Linked DNA regions of Anolis sagrei. The protein of the gene in region 1 binds, or shares a complex with, the protein of each later gene. Links are inferred from orthologs where the notes say so. Each region holds a gene or a part of one and is shown on either strand. Other genes may lie near its edges. The genes, in order: ERC1 and PPFIBP1.

Region 1 (15,508 bases):
TTCCCCCACCCCTCTCTGGCCACCAAAAGCCTTTCCCCTGCTTTCCCGGCTGCCAAAAATCTTTCCCTCCTCCCTTGCCACCATTTTTTTCTTTGCCTGCCTTGACACCAAAAGTCTATTTTCCTTGCTTCCCTTGCCACCCAGATCCACAGTTGGGCCTTACTTGCCTCCAAAACCCTATTTCCCTCCCACCACTTAAGGGGTGCTTTGATTGTGCTTTTCATGCATGGCAGACAACAGTTGGATTGGATGGCCCCTGAAATACTGTTAGAATAGAAAATAATGAAACACGAAAACCCCTAATTCAAAGTTATATGCTAGAAATTCAATAGGTGGCTCCTAGAGCATACTCCCAGTATACATGTATATTTATAGTGCTCTTGTATAGCTTGCTAAAACAATGTCTGAAAAAAGCTAGAAATATTTCAGTATTCTGAAACCATCTTCTCAAGGTGGCATGTCTCACATAATATAACCAGGCTTGTTGTCAACATTCATTCAAATATTTTTAGAGGCTTCCTGATTGCAGCTAAGTCCACATTTGCTTTCAACAAAATGTCTGAAACTGTATCATCATGCGCTAACAATAACATGAACCTGGACAACAATTTTTCTGACTCCATGGAACAGGCACATACTCATTTGTTCTCAGGATATGTACAAAAGTGCTAGTTTAATTATACTACTGTCAACTTGTGCTTGACCACAATCAGCCAAGTCATGTTCAAAGTAGTGCTGTCACTTGAATCTTTCCAGAGGCATTCTTGGTTCTTACTCACTAGTGAAAAAACGGATTTCTGTGGGTGGAGAAATCAAATTGTGTTGTGTAATGGATGAATATGCCTACAAAACAGCCATGCAAAGCAATATGCAAACAAAAATGTAAGACACTAACACAGCAAAAAAAATGCCAACCATTAATGTATGGAAGGTATGAATTCATAGGAAACAAACAATATGAATAATATAATTACAAGGCTTATGACACAAACATTTAGTCAAGTCTGCAAATCCCATCATTTCTTCACAATTGCCATATTGGCTAAGGCTGCTCAGAATTGCAATTCAAGTTTTTGAGGCCTTAACCTAAAAACTTTGCTATTGGTAGTTGGTTTGATCATTATTTTATATTTTGTTATAATGTTGTTGTTCTTATTTTGCTTTGATTTATATTGTTGCTTTACATTTTAATGTTTTAATTGTATTGTTGGGCTTGACCTCATGTAAGCTGCCCTGAATCTTTGGGGAGATGGAAGCAAGGTATAAAAACAAAGTTATTATATTATTATAATCCATAATTAGAATGAGGCACACCAATAGTTATGGCAATCTTTCTGACAAAAAGTAACAAGAAATTATGCCGTTCTTTTTGAGCAAATATGCTAGATATGATGAGGCAGCACAACTCTGCCATTTTGTTTCATTGCTATCCTAATATAATTTTAAAATAAAAGTGGAAAATATGTGACAAATGCTAAGAAAAAAAACATTTAATGAAAGATGTGCAAACTGAAAAATCTAAATGTTCATTATCAAAATGCCAACATCTTACTAAGAGATATACAGGCAGTCGCCAAGTTACGAACAAGATAGGTTCTGTAGGTTTGTTCTTAAGTTGAATGTGTGTGTGTCGGAACAGGTACATTTTTAAGTGTAACTCCAGTCAAATACATAGCTTTGGATAGCACAGGGAAGAGTTAACACCCCTGTAGATTTTTTCCTCCCTTTCTGGTCCTGCAATAATTGTATTTTGAAATATTTGGCTTGTGGAAACAAGGATTGGTGATAAAGCTTTAGTGGAGATACCTTTTCCCATTATAACTCTTTCAGGAGTGAATTTCCCTCTTTTGGGAGTGTATTTTCCCTACTTCCTTTCAGGAGTAGATTTCTCTAACTCCCTGTTGTCCCACCCTCGTTCTTAACTATGAGTCATTTGTAAGTTTAACTGCCTGTATAAAAGAAATTAAGTTACTTTCTAAATCAGAAGTCTTAAATTAAAATGGGTTCAGATAGCTTTCTGCTCCAGGGACCCTCTAGTGACAGCAAACTTCTGCCTCCAAGAAGCCTTTTTGGAAAAAAAAAAAAAGATGTAAAATAGTACAGAGCACCCCTCAACCTTCTTTAAAAGATGAATTGCTACTCTTGAAGGCTTTAAGCAAGAACAGTTGAGGGGAGCAGAAAAAGGGAATCAGAGAAATGTGTAAAAGTGATGGATCATGCGTGGTTCCAAGGCTGGGCTTTACCCACTCCTGTTCTAAAGCGAGAATATTGTAACTCTACTTCACAAAGCTGGCCAGAAATTTTCGTAAGATATCGCTATTGACAGTTACATTACAAACACTTCAAAAAACATTAAAGGCTTCCCAATTTAGTGATTTTAAAAGTATTACTGGAATAATTTTAGGCTCCCATCATCAATTTTCTCACAAAGCTCTTTTCAACTGATCCTATTTAATGATCTTACATTTAAGCAATAAATGCTAAATTCACTGATCTCATCTGATCTTACTAATAAAAGATCAAGTTTCTGCTAATGTTTTGTTCTGCTTTGTAACAAAATAGTATTTAAATCAGTAGTAAATATTTTGTTAAGTATGAAGAAATATTCAAAAGTTTACCAAAAAGAAAAAAAATGAATGCTACACTAGAAAGTGATAAGCCATTGTTACATGTTCATTCTGCATTAAAACAACTACTCCTACATATACAGTATTAAAAAACAACATAAGAAATGGTTATGGTGCAGCAGACAGAATTCTAATGCGCACACTGGTTTTGTCAGTGAGCAAACTCCATGGACCCATCACTTACCCAATTATGTGGCCTTTATATTTATTTATAAAAATTATAATATCTTAGGCACCAGAGAGCAAGTTAACATCCTCTTCTTTGTAGCAGCCCTTCTGGTATTCAAAGGGTACAATCATATCACTCTCCAGTAAAATCAAGCCAAACAAGTCCAAGTACTTCAACTTTTTCCTGGATGTTTAGTTCTCCCTGACTCTTATCATCCTTTTTGCTCTTCTCTGAACCTGGTCTGACTTGTCTACTGTATATTATTCTTAAAATAAAGCACCCAGAACTGACTGTGGTACCCAAGAAAGATGATTATCTAAAAATCTAGTAATGGTTTCCTCTACCCCAACATCTAAATCATTGATTAAAAATATTGAAGAGCATTGGCCCTACAGCACCTCATTTTAAGATCTGAAAATATGAAGGACGGCCACTAGTGACAACTCAATTTTCCAACTAATTACTGAGCTATGTCATATTCTCTCCATCTAATTCTTGTTTTGTTAGTAGCGAACAAAAATATTATGAGGGATCTTATCAAATGCTGTGCTGAAATCCACACAAAGGAATTTCACAGCATTCTCACCATCTATTAAACTAGTGAACAATTAAAAAGATATAGTGATGGTATTGGCAAAAGTGCCCTGAACAAATCTTACCAAGAACATCCCATGATGGGTTTGCCTGAGATTTGCCATAAGTCAGAAGTGACTTGAAGGCACACTTTTTCTCACCACATACAGTGGAAAAACTGGTAATGCTAACTGCTGAAGACACATTCACCAGTACCCAGGAGCCTCTTACATGCAATGGCAAGACAGCCTTTCCATTCTATTGCACCATCATCCTATTGTAACCAGTTCTAAGGGAACCTTATCCTGAATTACCGGAAACTAAAGACACTAAGAAAATTGTGCTTTCTTCCACAAGACTCTCTCAAACCATTTCAGACACAACATATGTGAAAAAAGAGAGCAACTTTAAAAAATGGGGAACTTTGGAGGTCAAGCAGCACTTTCTAGTATCTGTCCTGGAAACTGAAAGTTAAGATTTATATATTGCACTCAAGTTGAAGAATTTCACTTAGTGATAGGAATCAATCACTTTATAATGTTGATAAAGTAATTACTGGATAGCTTATTGTCTGCACAAATAATGATATAACACTACAATTCTTTACATTTTACTAAACATACAGGATTCTTTTGTTTTGTAATGCTCTTATTTCATTCTCTTAATCTAGCTATTTCTTACTTCATTATTTTAACAGCATCTGCTGTACTGTCTGTTCTAACATCACAATTCCAGGTTTCACAACTCCATAAATAAGATTCCCCAAACCTGGTGCCCAGATATGATGGACTACAAATACGACCACCCTTCCTAAAAATGTCCATGCACAGCATGGACACAGCTAATACAAAAAAAAAGAGCAATACTTTTTAAAACGTAAAGCTCAGCACTTTTCCCTAACTGCTCTAACATTCTTTCCTTCAAATCGTTTTTTTCCTTTTGTATGTGTCACTTATATATTATAAATTTAACATGCATCATTCTTTTGCTAGAAATAAAGGTTTGCTGCACACTACCAATTCATTAATAGAACAGGAAAACTGTTCAAGATGTATACAATAAAATTAAATATATGTTCTAAAATTATGTTGACATTAGAGACATATGCTCTAAAGATTTTGGTCATATAGCACATCTGAAGAATTCAAATCTTCAAGTCAGATCTGCGGTGCTGGACAATTAATGAAGAATCATGTAATCAGAGTAGAGGAAGGCATAATCAAGGAATGACTTTCAGGAATAAGCACAGCATAATGAATCAGAGAGGAGTGGCTAAAGGAACGGTAAATGAGTCCTGGAACAGAAGCCCTCCCAAGTGAGATGTAAGGAATTTAGAAGCACAGGATCAACTGTGCATGATACAAGTTTTCATTAAGTACTATATGATCTTTGTATCTGATGGGAATAAGGCCATCAACCCTGTGGGCAACTGAAACTGTGGATAATGAAGCATATATTTTGACTATACTTGGGCCAAAAGGAAATAATCGAATCTGACCAGAGAACTAGGAGGGCAATACTAAATATTAAATACTGAATCTGTGGATAAAGGGATCATACTATATGAAACAATTTACCTATTGCAAACCAATATGGAAAGAGACTGCATCAAAACATGATATAAATTATTTAAAATACATAATTGAGATCATTTTAGTTGTTTTTTTTCCCTTTTTGCTCCATCTAAACCAGGCACAGCCAAACTTGGGCCCTCCAAGTGTTTTGGACTTATTTATATCACATACTTGTATCCTGCCCCTCTCACCCTATAAGGGGACTCAGGGCGACCTTACAGCAATTCCTACCGGCTATTGGGAATTGTGGGAGTCTAAACTATACAAAACTGAATTAAACCCAAGACCAATTTTTGACTGAGGATGGGTTGAGAATGGAGATGAAAATAATATCTTTCTGCAACTAGGAATACGTATTTTTGAAAGCATGATACAGCCCAGTGCACCCAGTTGGGGAATTATGCACTCTAGCTAGCAATAGTTCAAGGCCTCACCACAGCACTTTCCCCAAGGTTACTACCCTGAGATTAAAAAAAAAATCCTAGAAATTACCAAAGCTGACTGTCAAAATCCAAGGCTGCAAATTAATATTTCAGTTAGTTTCACAGCATGACGGCCACCCCATTCCATTAGAAAGAATTACCAGAACAAGGCAGTTTCATAATCCAATCAGAATTAAGGACAAAACGGAATTATGAAAGATAAAACCATTGCACAGCATTCTTCCTCGCCCTATCCACTATCTCAAAGAATATCTAATCAGTAAATGCTCCCCTCCATACCAGCAAGACTGCTTCCTACATGCTTGTCATCCATGTGCCAATTTCATAGAATCACAGAGTTGAAAGAGACCTCATGGGCCTTCCAGTCCAACCCCTGCCAAGGAGCTGGAAAATCGCATTCAAAGCACCCGACAGATGGCCATCCATATGCTTAAAAGCTTCCAAAGAAGTAGCCTCCACCACACTCCAAGGCAGAGAGTTCCACTGCTGAACAACTCTCACTGTTCCGAAGTTCTTCCTAATGTTCATGTGGAATCTCCTTTCCAGTAGCTTGAAGCCATTGTTCCATGTCCTAGTCTCCAGGGCAGCAGAAAACAAGCTTGCTCCCTCCTCACCATGACTTCCTCTCACATATTTGTACATGACCATGATGTCTCCTCTCAGCCTCCTCTTCTGCAGGCTAAACATGACCAGCTCTTTAAGCAGCTCTTCATAAGGCCTGTTCTCCAGATCCCTGATCATTTTAATCACCCTCCCCTGGACACATTCCAGCTTGTCAACATCTCTGGAATTGGACACAGTATTCCAGGTGTGGTCTAACCAAGGCAGAATAGAGGGGTAGCATGACTTTTCCCTGGATCTAGACACTATACTCCTATTTTACAGGCCAAAATCCCTTTGGCTTTTTTTTGCCGCCGCATGACATTGTTGGCTCATGTTATTCACGAGGACTCTAAGATCTTTTTCACACGTACTGCTCTTTCGAGCCAGGTAACCCCCATTCTGTATCTTTACATTTCATTTTTTTCTTCCTAAGTGGAGCATCTTGCATTTGTCACTATTGAACTTCATAACGTTAGTGTTGGCCAATCGTCTCTCTAATTTGTAAGGTATGGGAGGAACATTTATTGAAGCTAAACTCAACACAGCAACTTCTCAGATGTGAACATTCATATGCCCCAAAGTCACTCCACTTTAAATCCAGATGGTGCCTCCTGCAGAATTCTGGGGTTTGTAGTTTAAGGAGGCACCTTTAACAGCCTTACTAAACTACAAACTCCAGAATTCTGCAGGAGGCAGAAATCGGATTTAAAGTGAATTCATTCTCTATTGTGATGATGTAGCTAGAGCAGGCATGGGCAAACTTGATCCCTCCAGGTGTTTTGGACTTCAACTCGAACCATTCCTAATAGCCTCAGGCTCCTTCCTTTTCCCTCTCAGGGAGGCTGTTAGGAATGGTGGGAGTTGAAGTCCAAAACACCTGGAGGGACCAAGTTTGCCCTTATTTATTTATTTAAAAAAATTATATCCCGATCTTCTCTACCTCTGCAGAGGGACTCGGACCGCCTAACAGCAATGATTCAATGCTAAAACTGAAAATCTAAAACATGATACACAACATTAAGTTACCAATTACATATTACATAAATTACATAAAAGCCTTTCGCAAAGATAAAATCGTGTCCAACTCAGTCCGTATGTCCAGTCCATATATTGTGATCAGTACCATTAGGTTCGAATCTGGGGAGAGGCGGATGAGCTCCCTCTATCAGCTCCAGCTCCTCATGTGGGGGCATGAGAGAAGCCTCCCACAAGGATGATAAAAACATCAATTCATCCGGGCGTCCCCTGGGCAACGTCCTTGCAGACGGCCAATTCTCTCACACCAGAAGCAACTTGCAGTTTCTCAAGTCACTCCTGACATGACCAAAAAAAAAAAGTACCATTAGTTGATTGCCGGTGTGAGACATCGTTCCACAAAAGCTTTGTTGCACAGCCAGGTACCACTAGCTTCCTAAAGGTCAGGAGAGAGGGGGCAGATCTAATTTCATTTGGGAGGGAATTCCATAGCCGAGGGGCCACCACAGAAAAGGCCCTGTCTCTGACCAATAGGAGGCATCGTCCCGCCTTTCTCGGCCTCCTGACACATTTCATACCTGCCTTAATGTATGAAAAGCAAGGCATATTCTCACACCAATTGATTGTTAGCGGCAGGCAGAAAGCTCCCATGGTTTCCCAGAATTGAGAATGATTAGACTATAAAAAACAACAACAAAACCCCAGTAAAACAGGTTTGTGCCCCTAAAAGTATTGTGTCTCAATAATGGTTTCTAAAACGAGGAGTAGGCTTTGGAGAAGGAGGGAGGATGGAGCGCCAGAATATCTATCTGAAGCAAAATGGCTTTTTGTGAAAACAGAGAGGGGGGGAGAAGAGCCGAGGAAAAGAGGCAGGTAGATGATGTATTCCAGGAAGCCATGCCTGGCAACCGGGTGGGGCGCAGGGAAAGGAAGAGGCAGAGAGATTATGAGGAAAGGAAGGGGGGAGGAGAAGAGAAGGGCTCCCCTTCAAGGAAAGGCGATATTAAGAGGACTCCCCCTTGAGTGTGGCCTCCATGGAGAGAGAGAGAGGGAGGGAGGCCTTGGGGCAGGAGAGGGCCTGGCTCCAGCTGGCCAGGCAAGGCCCCGCCCGACCCCCTTCCCTTCCCCTTGCCTCAGCTTCGAAGCCACACAGAAGGCCCAGCGGCTAACAGCCTACCTCCTGCCCCCGGCCAGCTGTAGCTCTCCAAGCAGGCGCGGCTTCCCTTCCTTTCGATCCGAGCGGCGGAGAGGCTCCTCCTTTTACCTCAGAGAGAGAGAGCCGCTCGCGCCCTGGCCCCCGGCGGCGGCGCGAGACCAGCCAGGCCCCGCCCCCTCCTCCTCCTCCTTCCCTGCCTTCCTTCCGTCGGCGCGAGAGACCGACCGTAGCCCCGCCCCCCTTCGGCCCAGGCGCGCGCCTCCCGCTCGAAGCCCCTCCCCCTTTCTTCCCTTCCTCCACGAGCCAGGCCCCGCCCCCTCCTCCCTCCCTTCCTTCGGTGCGAGAGACCGACCGTAGCCCCGCCCCCGTTCGGCGCGAGCCTGAGCCAGGCGCGCGCCTCCCGCTCGAAGCCCCTCCCCTTTTCTTCCCTTCCTCCCTCCCTCCACGAGCCAGGCCCCGCCCCCTCCTCCTCCTCCCTCCCTTCGGTGCGAGAGACCGACCGTAGCCCCGCCCCCCTTCGGCGCGAGCCTGGCCCAGGCGCGCGCCTGCAGCTCGAAGCTCCTCCCCCTTCCTTACCTCTCTCCCTCCCTGAGCCAGGCCCCGCCCCCTCCTCCCTTCGGCGCGAGCCTGGCCAAGCCGCGCGACTTTCGCTCGAAGCTCCTCCCCTTTCCTCCCTCCCTCCTCGAGCCAGGCCCCCTTCTCCCTCCCTCCCTTCGGCGCGAGAGACCGGCCGTAGCCCCGCCCCTCTTCGGCGCGAGCCTGGCCCAGGCACACGCCTCCTACGCGAAGCTCCTCCCTCTTTTTTACCTTCCTCCTCCCCCTCCCCTTCCTCTCTCCTCTATTCGGCGCGTGCCTGGCCCAGGCGCGCGCCTCCCGCTCGAAGCTCCTCCCCTTTTCTTCCCTTCCTCCCTCCAAGAGCCAGGCCCCGCCCCCCTCCTCCTCCTCCTCCTCCTCCCTTCCTTCGGCCCGAGAGACCGACCGTAGCCCCGCCCCCTTCGGCGCGAGCCTGGCCCAGGCACGCGTCTCGCGCTCGAAGCTCCTCCCCCTTTCTTTCCTCCCTCCTCCTCCGCTCTCCCTCCCTCCCTCCCTCCCACCGCTCGACCGCTTCACTCCAGACTTATGCTATTCACCTACCTCCACGTTTCGGCTGACGTATCCTTTCCTTCTCCCCCCCTTCTATTCCTCATCCACTGAGCCTGCCAATCATTTTTTCAGAAGCGCCCTCATTGGTCCGCTCTGACCAATAGGAGGCGTCTTCCCGCCTTTCTCGGCCTCCTGACACGTCTCGGGTTCCTATGCCATCTTCCCCCCCTTTCCCATTGGAGGGCGAGGAGACGTTTCTGCGCAAGCGTCGGTGAGCACCCGCGGGAAGTTTGTCCAATCTAGCTCGCCGTACCCGTCATCTCTGACTAAGGCTTTCAAAAGAAGGAGGCAGCGAGGGTTCCCTCCCCGTTCTCTCAGCCCGTCTCTCCCGCTCAGGTAACGGAGAAGAGGACATTACACCTACATTTAGGCTCGAATTCAGTGGGGAAAGGCTTGGGCTTTTGGAAAATGGCATTCATAACCTTTTGGAGATTAAAACTTTTTAAGGAAAGCATGACCATTCCCAGAAGAGCCAAAAACTCTTTAGAGTAGAATCTTCTCTTGTGATATACAACCAGGTGTAATTATACTAGGCAATGGTTTCAGTTGTTAGACTGAATAACCTGTTACCTCTGATCTGTTAGGAAAACAGAGATTTGCCAGTGCATAAAAAGGACACTGAAAAACACTTCTGAAGCACTGCTTTTTTATGCACTGGCAGATCTCTGTTTTCCTAACAGATCAGAGGTAACAGGTTATTCAGTCTAACAACTGAAACCATTGCCTAGTGTATATATATACATATATACTGTCCCATAAAGCAACTTGTTTATATCATGAACTCAAGAGACAAAAATGAAGTAGACTTGGATAAAAAATAACATAGTTGGTTTACTTACGGCCTTCATATGTTCAGCATACACAGCTACACAACTTATCAGTCCAGTTTCAGATATGATTGAGATAATTCTCTTTGCCATCTGGAGCCAGGACATCTGTTACAGCAAAACAGCATGCAAGTGTGTGATCCGACGTCTGAAGTCTTCTAAGGAACTAGAGAGTAAAGGAAGCTGCACACCAGAACATATATACAGGAAACAATAAGCAACAGGATCATAGATAAACATTATTAGAGAAGCTCAGTTCTTGTGGGGTTTTTTCGGGCTATATGGCCATGTTCTAGAGGCATTTCTCCTGACGTTTTGCCTGCATCTATGGCAAGCATCCTCAGAGGTGAGCCATAGATGCAGGCGAAACGTCAGGAGAAATGCCTCTAGAACATGGCCATATAGCCCGAAAAAACCCACAAGAACTGAGTGATTCCAGCCATGAAAGCCTTCGACAATACATTATTAGAGAAGGCTTGAAGAAAGTTGTCATTTCCAACATGGGGCCCTTTCAAGCTTCAAAGCTCCTTGAGATAGTGTGGGTTATAAATAAAGTATTATTATTGTTATAAAGTTAAAACTATGTCATCGCATTTAACTGCCACGGTTCCATCTTAGGACCTCTAATTTCGGAAGGGCCACTTTGAATTCCCAGTCAGGGAGCTCTAGTGTCATTGCATTGTTGTTATTATTATTATTATTGTTGTTGTTATTATTTGATACACGACAAGATTAGTACACAGCAAACAAGATCACTGTGCTGGTTTTTGTATTTGATAACACACCAGACACTTCCCAAGTGTCTAGGACAGTGTGATGTATCAGCAAATAATGTGTGCAGATCCAAGTTGGGTGACCTTTTGCAGCTGACAGCTGGTAATTCTGTCAGTCCTGATTGTTTTTAAATGCAGGCCAAGGTCTTTAGGCACCCAGTGTGCTGATCATCACTGGGACCACCTTTACTGGCTTGTGCCAGAGTCTTTGCAGTTCTATCTTTATCATCATCATCACAGGATTCTGTAGGATGCAGCCATAAGTGTAGTTTGACACCACTTTAACTGCCATGACTCTATGTTATAATAATAATAATAATAATAATAATAATAATAATAATCCTTTATTTGTACCCCGCTACCATCTCCCGAAGGACTCGGTGTGGCTTACAAGAGACCGAGCCCAAATACAATAGTAAAAACAACAGCAACAACAGACAGCAAAATAACTCAGAAAACAAAGCAATAACATTGACAACACACAATGACACAATTAAAAACAATGGCAGTGCCAAATGTAATAATTAAAATTAAAAGTGCTGGGCATGACCAGGTGGAGTGTTTTGGAGGGGGATGGGCATGCAGATATCCTAGATCTCTGATAAAGTGTGTTGGGACATAATGCTAGGAGTTTCCTATTCTGGGAAGGCACACTGGAACAACCACGTTATGGAATCATGGGAGTTGTCATTTTGCAATGACATTAGTCTTCTTTGCCAAAGGGGACTGATACCACACCAGACTACAAATCCCAAGGTGCCATAGCATTAAAGTGGTGTCAGACTGCATTAATTCCACAGTGTAGATGCACCCCATGACAGTTACAGTGGGGTCATAGCGCTATAATTGGGTGCTGTGAAGGCACCCTGAGCCTTAACATTTTCCACATGTGCCTTTTATTCAGTCAAGCCGTAAAAGTTATAAAGGGATACATGTGGTATTGGCAGCAGCAAACCTTGCAGAGCTTCCAGCTTTGTCATAACTCTAAAGCAAACTCCACAGCATATTGTCGGCAGTGTTAGTGCAGAAAGGTTTGCGATGGCCTTCCTCTGAGGCTGAGAGAGAAGGTTGCCCAAGGTCATCCAATGCGTTTTATTGAGCTGGGATTTGGACCCAGTAGTCCAGAGCCCAAACCACAACACTGTGCTGGTCCTTCCCAAAGGGAAATTGTTAAAATGAAAGCAGGACATGGTTGCAAGAGAGTCAAACAAAGTGACATCTTTTGTGTTCAGTTTTAAGTGCAGTAGTAGCCACAGTTACTGGACAGCATTAGGCAAGGAAAATGACATGTAATGACTGGCATCCCCAGCAAATCTTTCCAAGTACAGCTTCCCCTCCAGGAAGCCCTATGGGGCACATTCAAACTAATCTTTGAATGCACTTCAAAGGCAGCCTGACAGCTCAGTGTTTATATGATGCACACCACGATTAAGCCCTGCAGTGCACTTTAAGGGCTTTAAACTGAGATAAAGTTGCAGGATACTCTGAAATATAGCCCATAATGTGTGTCAGCACGTGTGGGCGTAATTTTTAACTCGCTCTTTCATAATGTGCACTTGTGAAGTTCTTTGGCAGTCTGCACATATGCAATTAGGGAGGGCCGAATTTTAAAAAATCTTAGATTCTCCCCAGTTGTCAAGCTGCAGACATTGCAGATTCTGGAATCAATTTGATAAGCACCACTTAGGCCTTGAAGCAATATTAGGATTTTCTACATCCGCACACCAAAAACTGCTTCCATCTCTGCTGGTTTCACATGTAGTCTGTAGATGTGACCAAGGAATGTATTTCCAATGAGGGACCTACTCCATTTTTCTTTATACTCCAGAGTGAAATCCCGTATAGCAGCTGGGCCCATCACAAACAACTGTGGATGGACGCACAGTGAATCATGCTGCACCATCTGAGTATTAAACAATAGCAGCAACTTTGCCTTTACCTGATAGGCAGTTCCCCAAAAAGCAGTGGAAAGTGGCTCCAGCCTATTTCAGACTATTTCCTAGGTAGCAGGAGAGTGTTTCACAAAAAGGAGGATTATCCCAGGAAAGACCCCCCCCCCACACACACACACCTCTGTTCCTTTGAACTTTTTGAATTATAGGTAACCTAAACTCATTAATTTTCCATGTGACCAAAAAAGTGAACCACACTGTAAATTAATAAATTCCAGTTATTACTGAAAAGGTTTGAAAGAGAAGACAATTAAAAAGTGAGGGATGCCTATATTTGTTCAGAAAATTATGCATTACAAAATAAAACTTAGTTTAAACTGAATACTTAAATTATGCCTTCTTTTCTTGGTAGTTAATCAGTTCTAAATTGACTGTGACCTTAATTCTTTTGCAGCCAAAGAAAAATCCTAGATAGCTGTTATATATTCTGTAACACTCAACCAGGCAAGAAATGTAGATTATCAAGATTCAGGTGTCCCACAAGCAGCAAATTGGCAAGACAAACCATATTATCACACCAGGTCTTTAAAGCGGGCAACCCGGCATTTCTGCCACCTGCAGAATTCTGGGAAATGTAGTTTGGGAAGGTGAGGACCACTGTAGCTGAGAATCCAAAAGGCTCCACCCTAAACTACATTTCCCAGAATTCTGCAGGTGATAGAAATGCGGGGCAGTCCGCACTAAAGCCCTGGTGTGATAATGTCACAAGTTGTGTTTCCCTAAAAGATTCACAACCTGTGTGGTAAAGTCTTGCGTATGGCCTAAGACGACTTCAGTTCTGAGCTATGAGAAAAATGAGAGGGAAAAGCTTCAGTGAAACCATAATTTCAATTAATGACTTTCATAAGGCCTTCATTTAAAATAGTGCTGTATTCCTCTCCTAAGTAATGCATCTAATGACAACTGCTTTAAAGAGTACCATATTTCCCATCAGACTAGTGGTTACTGAAAGAATGAGTAAAAGGGAAGCAAGTGTAATTACGGATATCATAGTCCCTTCATCATAAATATTCTGCAAACAGCTTTTATTACTTCTGGGAAATGGCCCAAGTAATTATTCAAGGAGCTTCGGAATTTGCGTGTGTGTAAAATCATCAACGGAGGCCTTATTTGCCAGATCTTTCTGGTTTCTCATCTTAGCACTTGTTTAAGAGATATGTTTATAATTCTTAATTAAGAAAATATGTTACATAAGAATAAAAAAGCAAAAATACATGTAAGAAACAATTCAGGTTTAATAGACTCTATATAAATGTGGCCACAACCCACTTGTAAAATTTTATATGCGCTACCATGCTTTGCTGCCAATGACTATGCAAAGCGGACAAGTTTTGGAACCTGCAAATGAGTTACTGGTATATTAATAAATGTAAAGTTAATTAAACTAATAAATTTATAGTAATCATAATTACTACTTGTTTTAATTAAACAAGAAATATTTTATTGATTGTGATGTATAATTGATTGTTTTAATTGTTTATAATTGTTTTAATTGCTGTTTATATATGTTTTATTTTTATTGTTTGTGTAGGCATTGAATTGTGCCTTTTGTAAGCTGCCCTGAGTCCCCCCTCGGGGGTTGAGAAAGGCGGGGTAGAAATATGCAAAATAATAATAATAATAATAATAATAAATGCATTCTACATGAACATGGGTTCGGTGTGAATCAAAAATGCAGCTTTCATGTTTGAAATCATTAGGAATGGAACTGAACATTAAAATGCTAACATTTTTCTATTTATTTAAATCAAATAACAATATTCTAATTGTGTGTTGTTTTCTTTTGTCCTTAATCTAAAATAAAATTTGAGGACAGGGGTAAACACTTTGAACTTTTTTTCCTTGCCAGTCCTGTTGATAAGCTTTCTTCTTCTTTGGTATCTAGTGTAATCCTTTCAATTTATACTTTTGTTAGCAAATGGAGGCAGCTTCCAGTAACTGCTTTCCCTTTTGTTCGGGGAAGCAATAGTCTTGATCAGCTACATGAAAATGAGCAGCTGTTGTGTGGCAGTGCTCTAAAAATACATTGATTACATCAGTAAGTTAATGTTTCTTATCATTCTCTGAGGTTTTAGCAAAAGTGTCTGATAACTTGTACAACAGAATTACATTCAAGCAGTTTCAAAACAGCAGGTTCTCTGTTACTGAATGATACATATTCTGAGTTGACAGAAATGCTATTCTCTCTTCTTTAGATTATCAATGGTGAATGCAAATAATTTATAATTTCTAAGTAATTTAGATTATTTATTTTATTTATTTGTGATATTTGTATACCGCCCTTCTCAACCCCTAAGGGAACTCAGAGCGGTTCACAGTGTTGGTCACAATTCAATGCCATTGATAAGAAACACTATAAAACATCAAAATTGATCCTCCCCTGATTAAACATTATTGAACACATCACATAAAATAAGATCACACATCACACAAAGACATAGCCGTTAATCCGTAAACAGTTCTGGGGCATTGCACTTTCAACTTTCACTTTAAGTATTCCTATGATGGGCTGAACACTTGGCATATAGCTGTCAGGTATATAGCTGTCTCCTAAAGGTCAAGAGGGAGGGGGCTGACCTGATCTCACTCAGGAGGGAGTTCCACGGCCGTGGGGCCACCACTGAGAAGGCCCTGTGAGGCCGGTGGGGTCAAGAGCAGCAGCTTCCCAGGAGATCTCAATCTACGAGCGGGTT
Region 2 (15,227 bases), about 89 Mb from region 1:
GCAAGCTAGACAAATGGTCGGGAGCTTACTCCGATCCGGGCTGGCTTCAAACCCGTGACTTTTTGGTCAGTTGTGATTTTAATGCAGCTGTCTCCCAAACAGCTGTGCCACAACCCAGTCCAAGTAAAGTAAGTATCACTTCTCTTCCAGTGAAGAAATGTTAGTTTTGGAAAAAGTTGCTCTCAATCTTCTGGGAAGGAGGGGGATAACAGAGTCCTTCCTTTCGGGAAAGATGCTAGTCTATATCCCATTATGAGGGAGGAAAGACACAGCTGGGAGCTTCGATTTTCTCTTTTTATCCTTTCTACACTGCAAATCCCAAGACTTCATAGACTGTGACCATGACCAACAAAGTACTATAATTATGTAGTGTGAAAATACCTTAGGTCCTGGCTAACCAACTGGTTGAAGTCAATAATCTATCCAGTCAATTTCCATCCTTTACGCTGCTCAAACCTCTCTTGCTCCTCACTTTCTGAGATGCTCTGCAACAAATGTCCTGTAAATTCTGGTGCATCCTTGCCAAGCTAACTGTATCAAATCAGCTCATTATTTTTATGCCTCAGGGATGCTATATCTAAAATCTCCTGGTGATTGCTGTAAGCTAGAGACACCCAAAGCAGCTGCTACTTTCCCTGATGTGTATATGGTTCAGAGCACAAGCAAACATATACATTCATTTAGAGTAGGGGCAGAAATCATGCAGACTTCCAAATGCTATTGGACTCCAACTCCCATCAGGCCAAGCCAGTACAGTCAATGGTGAGGCATGCTGAGAAATGCAACTCAACATGTCTGGACGGATATAAAATTCCCCCACTAATTTAAAGAGACAACTAATTTGCTGGAGTTCTTGCTGAAAACACCTGCCACCATCAACAATCGTCTTTCATACAACCACTACAACTCTGCCCCTAACTCTTGTGACCCTAACTCTGCCCCTAACTCGTGTATGTGTGTGTTTTGTTTTTTTGCCTTGAGACAACACCTCTCTAAGAATCTCTGCATCCTCCAGGATGACTCTGCCAAAAGTTCATAGAAACATACTGGATGACTTAAAATTTGTAGAGAGAACATTTGAATCAAATCCACAAATAATCAAATCTACAAAAATGACGCCCACAAATATGGAGGGCTAACTACTCCTTGCAGCATTCCCATTACCGTATCACCCCAACTGTACTTCTTGCAGCATTCCCTTTGCCAGAAATGGATTCCCATAACAGTGGATATGGAGAAAAAGGTTCTTTATTGGAGGGAGGTTGCAATATGTTTCCATGCACAAAGAAACATTAAGCAATTCACTATAAAATAGAGAAAAATCCCTGACTATAAGATATGGGTCAACACAGGGCCAAGTGTGGAAGGTCAGTTTTTCTTTGATGGCAAATTACCCTGAAGTATAATGCTTTGCTTTCCATATGTCTCACTGCTGAAAAATATTCATTTGGGCAAAAAAAGAAAGAAAAGGAGGCACAACTTGCGGGTCAGTTAAACATGCACCTTTATTTTGAAAAGCAGCACTGATTTCACTTGCACAGCTTCACTCTGTTTGGTCTTCCTTGATCATCCAGAAAAGTGATCCCCAAAGTGATCCTCTGATTCTGGAAATCCAGAATCTGGGAAACTGCTCTGTCTCTTCAAAAATGTTGGTCTACAATACTCAAGAGCCCTGGCCTACGATTCCCACCAGCATTAGCCAACGTGATCAATGGTAATATCCAAAAACACTTAGAAAGTCACTGCAGCTCATCCCACTTGGGTTTTTTTTTTTTTTGGTCGTGTCAGGAGTGACTCCTGGTGTGAGAGAATTGGCCATCTGCAAGGACGTTGCCCAGGGGACGCCTGGATGATTTGATGTTTTTATCATCCTTGTGGAAGGCTTCTCTCATGTCCCCGCATGAGGAGCTGGAGCTGGTAGAGGGAGCTCATCCACCTCTCCCCGGATTCGAACCTGTGACCTGTCGGTCTTCAGTCCTGCCAGCTCAGGGGTTTAACCCACTGCGCCACCAGGGGCTCCATCCCACTTATTAGGTTTGTTCCTTATTAGGTAAGGAACAAACAAAAAAAATCAGAATTATGGAATAGATCTGAAAGCAAGGAGAGTTGATGTATCTGAATACAATATAATAAGTTCCACCCCACTTGGTAAGGAACTTATTATATTGCATTCAGATACATCAACTCTCCTTGCTTTCAGATCTATTCCATAATTCTGATTTTTTTGTTTGCTTCCAGTGGCTTTGCGTCAGAGTTAAAAAAAATAGATGCTTGTTTTGCCAATAATTTCTACTTTTCCACATATTCCATTCCGAACAGTTTGTAGTACATATTTTACTGCCAAATCCTTGAACAAGACTCAAAGAAAAAGAACTAATAATGCTGACTGTTCATAATACATCAACATTTGTCTGAAGATTAAAAGCACAAGATAAAGCTGAATAAGTCTCTCTCGCTAAGTGTTTTATAAAAATGATCTAAGTTATCCTTAAAAATAAGGAAAACCTCTCATGAAGATCACAAACTACAGGGGCACGTTGCAACAGCTTATTTGGTTTTTGAAAAGCAGCTTCAGGCTTTCAGCCAAAGAAAGTCAAAGTGTAAAAACTTCATCATCAACAACTTTTGGTCCCTGTCTCTTATACATAAACCCCTTGAAATAAACCTCTTTTTGTTGCTGCTGTTGTTCCTAGAGAAAAGTCAACACACTGCCCAAAATAGCACTCCGGTGCCATTCTAATTCTAAGCTAATGGGAGACTGACAACAATGTGGGCCATCAACCAGTGCAACAAGACTCAGTAGGAGGATCAGGACAGATTATTTCCATTCATTTTAGTGGGTGGGGTATTTTTAAGAGTTAAGAAAGTAGTACATATAGAGAGACACTGAGACTGCTTCTACACTGTTGAATTAATGCAGTTTGATACCACTTTAACTAGCATGGCTCAATGCTATGGAATGATAGATGTTTTTTAATCTTGGAGCAGTGGTTCCCAACCTGTGGGTTCTCAGATGTTTTGGCCTTCAACTCCCAGAAATCCTAACAGCTGGTAAACTAGCTAGGATTTCTGGGAGTTGTAGGCCAAAACATCTGGGGATCCACAGATTGAGAACCACTGCCTTAGATGCATTTGGACTCCTGGCCATAAAAATGATATATAAGGGAAACTTTATGAAATATATTTGTATTTTTCTTCCAGTATTTCTTCCTCCATTTTTTCAGTGTGTAAGACTTTACTAATAAGTCCCACACAGTGTCATAGGGCAAGAAAAAGTCTCCAAAACATATTCCAAGAGTACAAACCACGCAAGTACTATGTCATCGAATTTCACCATTATTCACACTCACATGCATGAAAACATTATCCCATATATGTCTCCAAACCGAGGTTAAAGATACCAAGGGAAACTGGCATCCCAACAGGGCTGAACTTCAAAGCAGAGCTTCAATCATTCTTTATCTCCTCCCAACTCTTTCTCAGATGGTGCCTACCAGTGTATTTATTCACTGGTCAAAAGAAGGTGGGTTTGTTTTGCTCCTGTGAATAAGTCACTGCCAGATGTCTGGTCCAAATACACGGAAGCGTCTAGTTTCAGAAGCAGGAAAAGCTATAAAGATCTATGTGTTCATTGGAGCTTTTACGCATTCACCAGGGCAGAAGCAGACAAAATTTGGCAGGGTTTAAAAGCAGCAGAAAACATAACAATATTAAACATACAAAGAGATGCCCACAAGAGGAGACACTATCTCATCCCAGCAGCTCAACTGAAATACCCTCCCATCCTAAAAATGAAAACCATGAATATAGACAGTATGGACACAGAAATGTTCATGAAATGTACATCCTTCTACAGACAGTTCCTGAGTTACAAATATGCGACTTATAAATTATTCATAGTTAAGAAAGGGGGTGAGACAACATGAAATGAAAGAAATCTATCCCAGGATGGGAAATTCACTACTGAAAGAATTATGGGAGAAAGGTATCTCCACTGAAGCTTTATCACCAATCCTTGTTTCCACAACAAGCCAATTTTTTCAAGATCCAATTATCACAGGGACAGAAAGTAAGGTAACATCTTGTAAACTTTGCTGCACAGGTACCAAAACAAACATCACAGGGGTGTTAATGCTTCCCTATGCAATCCAAAGCTTATATATTTATATTACATATAGATATTTATTTATTATGGTCAGTAACCAGCACAAAAAATGTACAAATATCAGAATAGGAACATATACATTCAGGTATTAAGAAACACTGTCAAAAGCAAAGTTAAAACCTAGTATTGAATATGATATTTAAAATGGTATTAAACATTTATATGCAAAAATGACAATGGTAAAAATTGAAATAAATAAAACTGAAATAAATCGCATTCAAAGCACCCCCGACACATGGCCGTCCAATCTGTTTAAAAGTCTCCAAGGAAGGAGCCTCTACCACACTCCGGAGCAGAGAGTTCCACTGCTGAACAGCTTCAGAGTTAGGAAGTTCTTTCTAATGTTCAGGTGGAATCTCCTTTCCTGTAGTTTGAAGCCATTGTTTTAAGTCCCAGTTGCCAGGGAAGCAGAAAACACGCTTGCTCCCTCCTCCATATGACTTCCCCTCACATATTTATACAAGGCTATCATGTCTTCGCTTCTGCAAGCTAAACATGCCCAGTTCTTTGAGACGCTCCTCATAGGGCTTATTCTCCAGGCCCTTAATCATTTTAGTCACCCTCCTCTGGATTATGTATGGGGACACAACATATTTCATGGAAACCTGTTAATATTCTATACCAGGGGTCCTCAAACTAAGGCCCGGGGGACGGATGCGGCCCTCCAAGGTCAATTACCCGGCCCTAGCTCATGGTCAACCTAAGTGTGAAACTACTTGAAAGCGCACAACAATAACAACAATCCTAGCTCATCAGCCAAAAGCAGGCTCACACTTCCCATTGAAATACTAATAATTTTATATTTGTTGAAATTGTTCTTCATTTTAATTATTGTATTGTTTTTACGTGCTTTTTGCACTACAAATAAGATATGTGCAATGTGCATAGGAATTGGTGCATGTTTTTCAAATTATAATCTGGCCCTCCAACAGTTTGAGGGACTGTGACCGGGCCCTTTGTTTAAAAAGTTTGAGGACCCCTGTTCTATACTATCCTATCCAATTTGTTGTCGATGCACTCCTTTAGGCTTCACGCAAATCTATCATATACAACTGTGTTTTTCTTTTCCATTTCTGGCCAAACTGCTTAATTATTGCTATGTCCCATCAAATTAGTTTGTTCCATTCATAAATATATATAAATAAATATATGATTTATTGCTATTTCACAAAGACTCAAAGATTTCTCCTTATGTTCATGCAACACAGCTACAACCTATACATTGTAGCTGACACATGAATGTTTGGAAGGCTCTACACTAAGTCATGAAAAAGATGGTGTATTAAATTACCTTCAGGCCGTGTGTATGAGGTATCTATGGATGCATCTACACTATGGAATTAATGCAGTTTGACTCCACTTTAACTGCTGTGGCTCAATGCTCTGGAATCCTGGGAATTGTCACTGATAAAGCTCAAACCTCCTCTGCCAAATAATGCTAGACTACAAATCCCAACATTCCAGAGCATTGAGCCATGACACTTAAGGAGGTGTCAAACCGCATTCATTCTCCAATGTAGATGCCCCCCACAGAACATGTATAAATACATCTATAAGTGGTTCTTAATGAGACATGCCGCATTATCACGGGGTGTCTGCGCCCTACACCACTAGAGAAATTACACTGTTTGGCCAGTATTGCACCACCTGACATCCGCCGGGAAGTAGCAGCCAATAGTGAAAGGACCAATCTCCAGCTAATCCCCTGTTTGGGTATCAGCCAGCACGTCAACAACTTAAATCAAGAAATAGTTTCTAAGATCTACAGAGACACTCACTGGAACACCTCAGCAAGTGAGAGTCCAAAAATGGCAGGCTCAAATCCAGAACCTCAATCAATGGTCGATACCAAATGAGAGACTCCCCCCTGGGCACAAGAAAACTGGGCGACTTGGAAGGCGCTGAACAGACTGTGCTTCGGCACCACGAGATGCAGAGCCAACCTCAAGAAATGGGGCTACAAAGTGGAATCCACGACATGCGAGTGTGGAGAAGAGCAAACCACAGACCACCTGCTGCAATGCAACCTGAGCCCTGCCACATGCACAATGGAGGACCTTCTTGCGGCAACACCAGAGGCACTCCAAGTGGTCAAAGGACATTTAATCAACTACCAAGCTTGCAAATTCTGTGTTTTGTCTGTTTGTTAAAAATGTGTTTAAAATGTAATACAATTGTCTGGTTGCTACTGATACAATAAATAAATAAATCTATAAGTATAATCTATAAATACAGCTATTCCAAAATAGAAAAATATCCTAAATCAAAAACACTTATGATCCCAAGCATTGCATTTTCTCACTTATTCCCAAACTCACCCTTTCTAGTCTTAGTTTCTCATATTCCGATCTGCCTGTATATATGCTTCTTTTTAAAAATTATCATCTATGCACACACAATAATTCAAACAAACTGTCCAGGTCTCTGAAATGTGCTCCTTACCTCTGACTAATTCCTCCACAATTCTCCAAGGTTGCGATGTATCTACACTATAAAATCAATGCAGTTTGATCTCACTTAAACTGCCGTGACATTCTGGGAGGTATAGTTTTGTAAAGTCTGAAGCCTTCTTTGCTTAAGGGTGATGGTGCCTCACCCAAACTCCAACTCCTGTGACCCCACAGCAGCTAAAGTGGTGCCAAAGCTCATCAAATCCAACAATATAGACGCACCCCAAAGTTACAGTCAGTCTGAAAAAGGCTTTCCCATTCTCTCTCTCTCTCCTTTTTTCCCAAGCTCCAGCAAGAGTCTCAACTTTGCACTTCCTGTTGTAAGATCAACCGGATCAAGAGCCTAAAAGAAAAGCAGCTCCTGGATAAACAATGCGTTGCTTTCCCTCTTCAGAAAAGTCACTTACCCAAACCGAACTTTGGGGAAAGTTGTGCCTCTAGGCCTCGCTCCTTCTTCGGTTTCACCAAACCATCCCTGGTCCTGCTTTTGCCTTTCTCTAGACGCGCTTCGCCTCTCCTCTTCCGACCATGTCAGGCTTCCAAGCAAAGACTGAAGCGCCTAGCTGAACGTCTGGCGCCTCCCCGAAGTTCGCCCCGCCCCCCAAAGGGAGCGGCTAAAGAGATTGGAGGATTTCGTAAAACCCCTGGTTTTGATTGGAGTAAGAGGGAGTCACTCGAGGAGGGAGTACTCTTTCTTTCTCCCCCCCCCCTCCGCCCCGTTGTAGTACATTCCAGGGCTGGTGGAAAAGGCGGGGGAGGGTTTTTCTAAAAGAGGATTTGTGGGGTGTCCGTGATGTGGGAAGATTCATCAAAGGAGCTACTATGACCAAAGGGGAGGAGTCTAATTTTGGCCTTGTCCATTAATTTTTCTCAGCTTTGCCTTATCAGGCGGTGTCATATTGGAAAAACAAGGCTTTCACGCTCCCAACTTGGTCTCCCTGCCAACTTGGCAGTGAAAGAGTGCCTTGGCAATAGAGCTTTCTTCCCAGCCCTGGAAAATACCAGCCCTGCAGTGTGAATCTGGATGAGTAAACACAGGAAGACTCCCTCTGAAGACTCGTGTTTCATGCCATGAAACATCCTCCAAACATGGAGAAAACAACCGGAAGTTCCAGTTAGAAACAAATTTAAAGTAGGTTCTTGTGGGTTTTTCCAGGCTATATGGCCATGTTCTAGAGGCATTGTTCAACATCTACACAAATGACCAGCCACTGCCAGAAGGGACAGAGAGTTTCATCTATGCTGATGATCGTGCCATTACTGCTCAAGCAGGGAGCTTTGAGATGGTTGAACAGAAGCTCTCCGAAGCTCTAGGTCAGGGGTCCTCAAACTAAGGCCCGGGGGCCGGATGCGGCCCTCCAAGGTCATTTACCCGGCCCTCGCTCAGGGTCAATCTAAGTCTGAAATTACTTGAAAGCACACAACAACAATTCTATCTCATTAGCCAAAGCAGGCCCACTCTTCCCATTGAATTATTAATAAGTTTATATTTGTTAAAATTGTACTTCATTTTAATTATTGTATTGCTTTAAAGTATTTTTTGCACTACAAATAAGATATGTGCTGTGTGCATAGGAATCCATACATTTTTTTTCAAATTAGAATCCGGCCCTCCAACAGTTTGAGGGAGTGTGGCCTGGCCCTCTGTTTAAAAAGTTTGAGGACCCCTGCTCTAGGTGCTCTTACTGCCTATTACAGGGAAAACCAACTGATCCCTAATCCATCTAAAACACAGACATGCGCCTTTCACCTTAAGAACAGACAAGCATCCCGAGTTCTGAGGATTACCTGGGAAAGAATCCCACTGGAGCATTGCAGCACACCCAAATACCTGGGAGCCACTTTGGACCGTGCTCTGACCTACAAGAAGCACTGCCTGAACATCAAACAAAAAGTGTGCGCTAGAAACAACATCATACGAAAGCTGACTGGCACAACCTGGGGATCACAACCAGACACAGTGAAGACATCTGCCCTTGCGCTATGCTACTCTGCTGCTGAGTATGCATGCCCAGTGTGGAACACATCTCACCACACTAAAACAGTAGATGTGGCTCTTAATGAGACATCCCGCATTATCACAGGGTGTCTGCGCCCCACACCACTGGAGAAATTACACTGCTTAGCCGGTATTGCACCACCTGACATCCGCCGGGAAGTAGCAGCCAATAGTGAAAGGACCAAGGCAGAGACATCTCCAGCCCATCCCCTGTTTGGGTATCAGCCAGCACATCAACGACTTAAATCAAGACATAGTTTTCTTAGATGTACAGAGACACTCGCTGGAACACCCCAGCAAGCGAGAGTCCAAAAGTGGCAGGCCCAAACCCAGCACCTCAATTCATGGCTGATACCAGATGAGAGACTCCCCCCTGGGCACTCAGAAGACTGGGCGACTTGGAAGGCGCTGAACAGATTGCGCTCTGGCACCACGAGATGCAGAGCCAATCTTAAGAAATGGGGCTACAGGGTGGAATCCTCGGCATGCGAGTGCGGAGAAGAGCAAACCACTGACCACCTGCTGCAATGCACCCTGAGCCCTGCCACATGCACAATGGAGGACCTTCTTGCGGCAACCCCAGAGGCACTCCAAGTGGCCAGATACTGGTCAAAGGACATTTAACCAAATACTAAATTTGCAAAATCTGTGTGTTTTTTTTTCCTTTTTCTTTTTAATCTGTATGTTTGTTTTGCTCTGTTAGAATTGTGATACAATGGTTGCTGATGACACAATAAATAAAAGAGGCATTGTTTCCTGACGTTTCGCCTACATCTATGACAAGCATCCTCAGAGGTAGTGAGGTCTGTTGGAATTAGGAAAATGGGTTTATATATCTGTGGAATGACTGGGGTGGGGCAAAGAGCTCTCCTCTGCTGGAGCTAGGTGTGAATGTTTCCACTGACCACCTTCATTAGCATTTGAAGGCCTGGCTGAGTCTGGGGAAATCTTTTGTTGAGAGGTGTTAAGATGTGCCTGGTTGTTTCCTCTCTGCTGTTTTGCTGTTGTAATTTTAGAGTTTTTTAATACTGGTAGCCAGATTTTGTTCATTTTCAGGTCTCCTCCTTTCTGTTGAAATTGTCCACATGCTTGTGGATTTCAATGGCTTCTCTGTGTAGTCTGACATGGTGGTTGTTGGAGTGATCCAGCACTTCTATGTTCTCAAATAATATGCTGTGTCCAGGCTGGTTCATCAGGTGCTCTGCTATGGCTGACTTCTCTGGTTGAAGTAGTCTGCAGTGCCTTTCATGTTCCTTGATTCGTGTTTGGGCGCTGCGTTTGGTGGTCCCTATGTAGACTTGTCCACAGCTGCATGGAATACGGTAGAGAGGATCCCTCTCATCCTTTGCTGAATGTAGCATTTGTTGGATTTTCTTGGTGGGTCTGTAGATTGTTTGTATGTTGTGTTTCCTCATCAGTTTCCCTATGCGGTCAGTGGTTCCCTTGATGTATGGCAGGAACACTTTTTCTCTGGGTGGATCTTCATCTTTGCTCTCGTGGCTTGTTCTTGGTCTTGCAGCTCTTCTGATGTCTGAGGTGGAGTATCCATTGGCCTGTAGAGCCCAGTTTAGGTGGTTCAGTTCATCTTGGAGGAGGTGGGGTTCACAGATTCTTTTTGCACGGTCTGCCAAGGCTTTAATGGTGCTTCTTTTTTGACTTGGGTGATGGTTGGAGTTTTTATGTAGATATCAATCTGTGTGTGTGGGTTTTCTGTAGACGGTGTGACCCAACTGTTGATCTGGTTTACGGATGACTAGGACATCTAGAAAAGGCATCTAGAAAATTTAAAGTATTATATTATCACTGCACTTGAGATTGGCTACTCTGCAGCTGAATAGGCGTGTCCAGTGTGGAATACATCTCACCACGTTAAAGCAGTGGATGTGGCTCTTAATGAGACATGCCACATTATCACAGATGTCTACCCCCTATGCCGTTGGAGAAATTACGTTGTTTAGCCGCTATTGCACCACTTGATATTTGCCTGAAATAGCAACTAGTAAAGAAAGGACATTCTCAGCCCATCTTCTGTTTGGATATCAGCCAGCATACCAACGTCTTAAATCAATAAATAGTTTTCTAAGAACTACAGAGATACTTTTAGGAACACCTCAGCAAGTGAGAGTGCAAAAGTAGCAGGCTAAAACTTGGAACCTCAATCAATGGCTGAGACTGAATGAGAAACTCCCCCCTGGGCACACAGAAGACTGGGCGACTTGAAAGGCACTGAGCAGGCTGCGCGCTGATACCACAAGATGCAGAGCCAATCTTAAGAAATGGGGCTACAAAGTGGAGTCCATGACATGCACATGTGGAGAAGAACAAACCTGCATTACTACAATGCAGTCTGTGCCCTGCCACATGCACAATGGAGGACCTTCTCACAGTGACATCAGAGGCACTAGAAGTGGTCAACGGAAATTTAGCATAATGCCAAGTTTTTAACTTTGTTTGTGGTTTTTATGCATTGTAATTGTATAAATTAACTTGGTGCAGGTGGCAGTGATGCGGGGAAGCCCTGGGGCTCCCAATGGGCCAATGGAGGTGGTTACTGGAGGTGATCTCCAAGGGGTTGTATCCAACCTGGTTGTATAGCAATGGAATGCTGAAGACAATGAGAATCCAAAAAGATAAATGATGGGATTATGCAGATACTGGGTCCTGGATGTAAGGACAATGAGCAGTGGATCTCCAGACATCCTCCCATGCTGAGAAGATAAAGAAAAGATCCCAGAAATGTCAAGTGAAGATGAGAGTGTAATCAGAGTTTCTTCCTGAACCTTTATCCAGCGGACAGCTGAGATCCCCAAAGAGGAAGTTCAGGGTGGCAAGCAGATGGCCTCCCACTGGTATCCATGAAGATTCCTTGTCCAACAGATTATGTCTTGTCCCTGTTTCCCACATAGGGTGTGGAAGGAGTATCTGGAATGGCTCAGATAGCTCAAGAGGTTAAGCCCTGGCCCTTGAGCGCTCCAGCTAGAGGTCAGCTGTGACCAGCAGTGCTGTAGAATTTGAAGAGGAGGGTGAAAGAGAGAAATGTGCCAAGAGGAAGGAGCGTCAAGCCAACCCTGATCAGGACCGCCTTCCACCTGGAAACCAATGCCCTCACTGCAGGAGAACATGCAGATCAAGAATAGGGCTCCACAGTCACCTACATACCCACCGCTAGTACACCGATCTTGGAAGACAATCCTACTCTGACAATGAGGGATCGTCTAAGTAATTAGAGTTCATGCTGATCTGCCTTCTAATTCATATAGTTCAATAAAATAAAGTAATAAAAATATTAAAGATAGAGTTCATGTGATGCTTCAATGCAAATTCTTAGGTGAAATAAGGGCAAAGGGAGAGAGGTCTCATTTTAGCTGCATTCAGATTGCAGCCAGATTGCAGCCAGATTGCTCACGGGAGCGGCTGCCGGTTTGCTACCTGGCACGATTCAAAGTGCTGGTTTTAGCCTATAAAGCTCTAAACTTTCCAGCCCAGCTTACCTGTCTGAACATATCTCTCCCTATGAACCATCTAAGAGTTTAAGATTGTCTGGGGAGGCTCTGCTCACGGTCTTGCCTTCTTCACAGGAACAACTGGGACGAGAGACAGGGCCTTCTCAGTGGTGGCCCTTCAGTTGCGGAATGCCCTCCCCAAGGATATTACACCAGTCCCCTCCTTTTTGACCTTCTGGAAAAAAAGTGAAAATGTGGCTATTTGAACAAGCCTTCGGAATCTAATGCAACAGTCAAACATGAAATTAGACAAAAGTGAACATTGGAATATTGGAAAGGCTCAGACGATGATTTTTGGACAATGAAACTAACAATGAATGTTTTTAAAGATTTTATTGAATGTATTTTAATTCTGCTTAAATGTTGTTTTAATTGTATATTACTAGGCATCAAATTGCTGCCTGGTTGTTTGCCTCCTTGAGTCACCTTTGGGTTCGAGAAAGGTGGGATAGAAATATCATAAATAAATAAATAAATAAATAAGTCTCTATTTACTCTGATCATATACAAACTTAGACAATGTTAACAAATGTGACTTTTACTGTATAAAATTTGTTGGATTTCACAATACATTTATGCTTATACATTTTGATATTCTTTGCTGTACATTGAATCCCTTCCCAGATGCCTTAAAGAGCTAGACACAGGAGTATATCCAAAACAATAGTTTATTAAAGCAAAGCAAACATGACTCAGAGACACTTGCTTCAGTGCCTCTGGTCAAAACTCAAAGTTTGTAGCAATTTCTAGCTTGTAAAACAAATTTTGTCAATAATCTGGATTAAACTGGCAAAAAACCCGGATTAAACAAGAGTTCTTCCAAAACACACCAAAATCACACAGTTCAAAAGAAATAAACAAACAAAGCGCTGTGAAGAGAAGCTGTCGTCCAAATGCAGTCCAAAGTCGAAGAAATCCCAGTTGAAGATTCCGAAGTCCTCAAGGCAGTGTCATCGCCAAAAACAGTCCGAAGTCAAGAAGAGGGGAAATCCACACTTACGAGAATCCAAGCCGGTCGGTACACGAAGCAAGGCAGCAACCTGCAGATCCAGGACCCAAGCCCAACAGGAAAGTGGCAGCGACAAGACCCAAGGCACGAAACCAACTCTTTGCCTACTGCAAAGTTCTATCATTCCAATGCCTACATTTATCTTACAGCTCATCATTCCATCTTTACAGCTCCACCCCATCCTCATCACTCTCAGCTGGCTTAGCCTCCACAGCTGAGCACCAATGCCCATCCCTCCAACTCTTCCACCTCTTGTCAAGACTTAGGTCTCCCTATGATTCCACAGTATCACCAGATTGCCAATCCCCGCCACCAGAAAACCCTGCAAAAGTGTCACTGGACGTTGGTTGAGTATACACATTCTGAACCTCCTGTACTTTGGTCCAATCCAATGGTTCCTCTTCATCCCCATCACTCCCAGACCCATCATTCCCAGAAAAACCCATAAAATCCTCTTCCTCTGTGGGAGCAGTAAGTATGTCCCGGATCTTCTTTCTCTGATGCTCTCGAGTAATCCTCTTAGTCCCTCTATTCCCATCTGTATCTCCTTCCTCCTCCTTACTCATTTCACTCTTGGAGAACCCCTTGAAGGACTCTTCATCAGAGGGCCAGCGAGGTCCAGAGGTTCCGCCACTTCCAAGGGTTTCCCCTTGGCTGGGGAGGGCACCAGCCACTTGAGCCTGGCGTTCAGCAACCGGAAAACCCCCACCGAGGCCCCTACCAGCACCACGCCGCTCTCCATTCCCAGTCAGCCGCTCAACTGCTGAGTCTTCACTTATTTCAGGAATATTGGTGGTTAGTTGACCTCATCAGGCACAGACTCTCGGTATCTGCAGTCCTAAGAATTCTAAATTTTGACTTCATCACCCTTGTTCTTAACTATGAATCATTTGCAAGTCTGATGTTTGTAACCCAGGAACTGCCTTTAGATGGTAGCGTTGATGGGCCCTTAGTCACATTCACATCTATCAACTGCTGCAGTGAGAGCTGAACTGGAAATTTACACAATCCATGCATAGTCTAAACTTAGAGTGTATAATTACTGGCATAAAATCAATGTAATGGAGCCCAATAGACTCTCAAAATTGTGCCTATTAGAACAGATAAATTTCCAACTACAGACCTGTTGGATTACACAACTGATGAATTATTTAAGAAGTTGCGATCTCCCTGTCTCCTGCGCCTTAAGAAACCAAATAAAAAAGAGTGCTATACAAATAATTTTAGACTTAGAAGCGCAAAAAGATATAGCCACCTTAGTAAGGTTGCCAACTTCAAATGGCTGAGCTGATATAAACGTATCTTTCAAATTGCTAACTATCTAAAAATTCAAATGCCAAAACATTTTTAGAGAGGTATTCACTCGAGTTTGATTTGATCAGCTTGATACAATGGTCAGATATGGGAAATTTAATAGCAGCCCTTATAATGAATGGATTTGTATCTGTGGGGCACCTGAAATTGAGGATATAGCATTTGATTGTAAATTATACCAGAAGGTGAGAGACTTGTACCTTGGTTCCTATATCAAATGGACAATGTATTGGGAATCCCGCATCAGAACAACGTATTTTATGTGTGCCCAAGATCCAAAATAACATATAAAACTGTTCTGTTTTTAAACAAAGCAATACGTCTGAGAACCACATATGTGGGGCTGATCAGGATAAATTGTAGGGGTGATACGGAAACATGATGTATATATTCAGTTTTATAATATTTATTTACTGTACAGTTATGTTTTACTTAACTTACTATATAAAGTGTAATCGAGTTTTATCAAGCTTTTTGGTTTGATTTGTTATTGTGATATGGCCTAAGGGCTAAACAATAACATTTACTACTAGCAGAAGTATTACTACTACTACTACTACTACAAGAATTCAACAATTAAAAAGAACCAAACTATAACAGAGAAAGTACATTTTTAATAGGTTGAATATCCCTTGCCCAAAATGCCTGGAATTCAGAATGGTCTTTGATGGCAGGTGAACTATACATCCCAGCAACTCTCATATGCCAAAGTCTATTTTCCCCAAGCCTCTCTGGTATTTTCTGTTGGTCATGGGAGTTCTGTATGCCAATTTTAATTCAAATCCAT

What was found.
Region 2: ERC1 (region 1) and PPFIBP1 share a complex: the UniProt entries of both Homo sapiens proteins name them as parts of the cortical microtubule stabilization complex. The link is inferred for Anolis sagrei from reciprocal best matches to the Homo sapiens genes ERC1 and PPFIBP1.

Annotation. Positions count from the first base shown.
Region 1 is NC_090025.1:178,592,830-178,608,337, reverse strand, and holds the start of ERC1 (ELKS/Rab6-interacting/CAST family member 1), read right to left. Parts: upstream 8,309-15,508; 5' UTR 8,142-8,308; intron 1-8,141. UniProt on the Homo sapiens protein: Regulatory subunit of the IKK complex. Probably recruits IkappaBalpha/NFKBIA to the complex. May be involved in the organization of the cytomatrix at the nerve terminals active zone (CAZ) which regulates neurotransmitter release.
Region 2 is NC_090025.1:89,608,923-89,624,149, reverse strand, and holds the start of PPFIBP1 (liprin-beta-1), read right to left. Parts: upstream 7,195-15,227; 5' UTR 7,023-7,194; intron 1-7,022. UniProt on the Homo sapiens protein: May regulate the disassembly of focal adhesions. Did not bind receptor-like tyrosine phosphatases type 2A.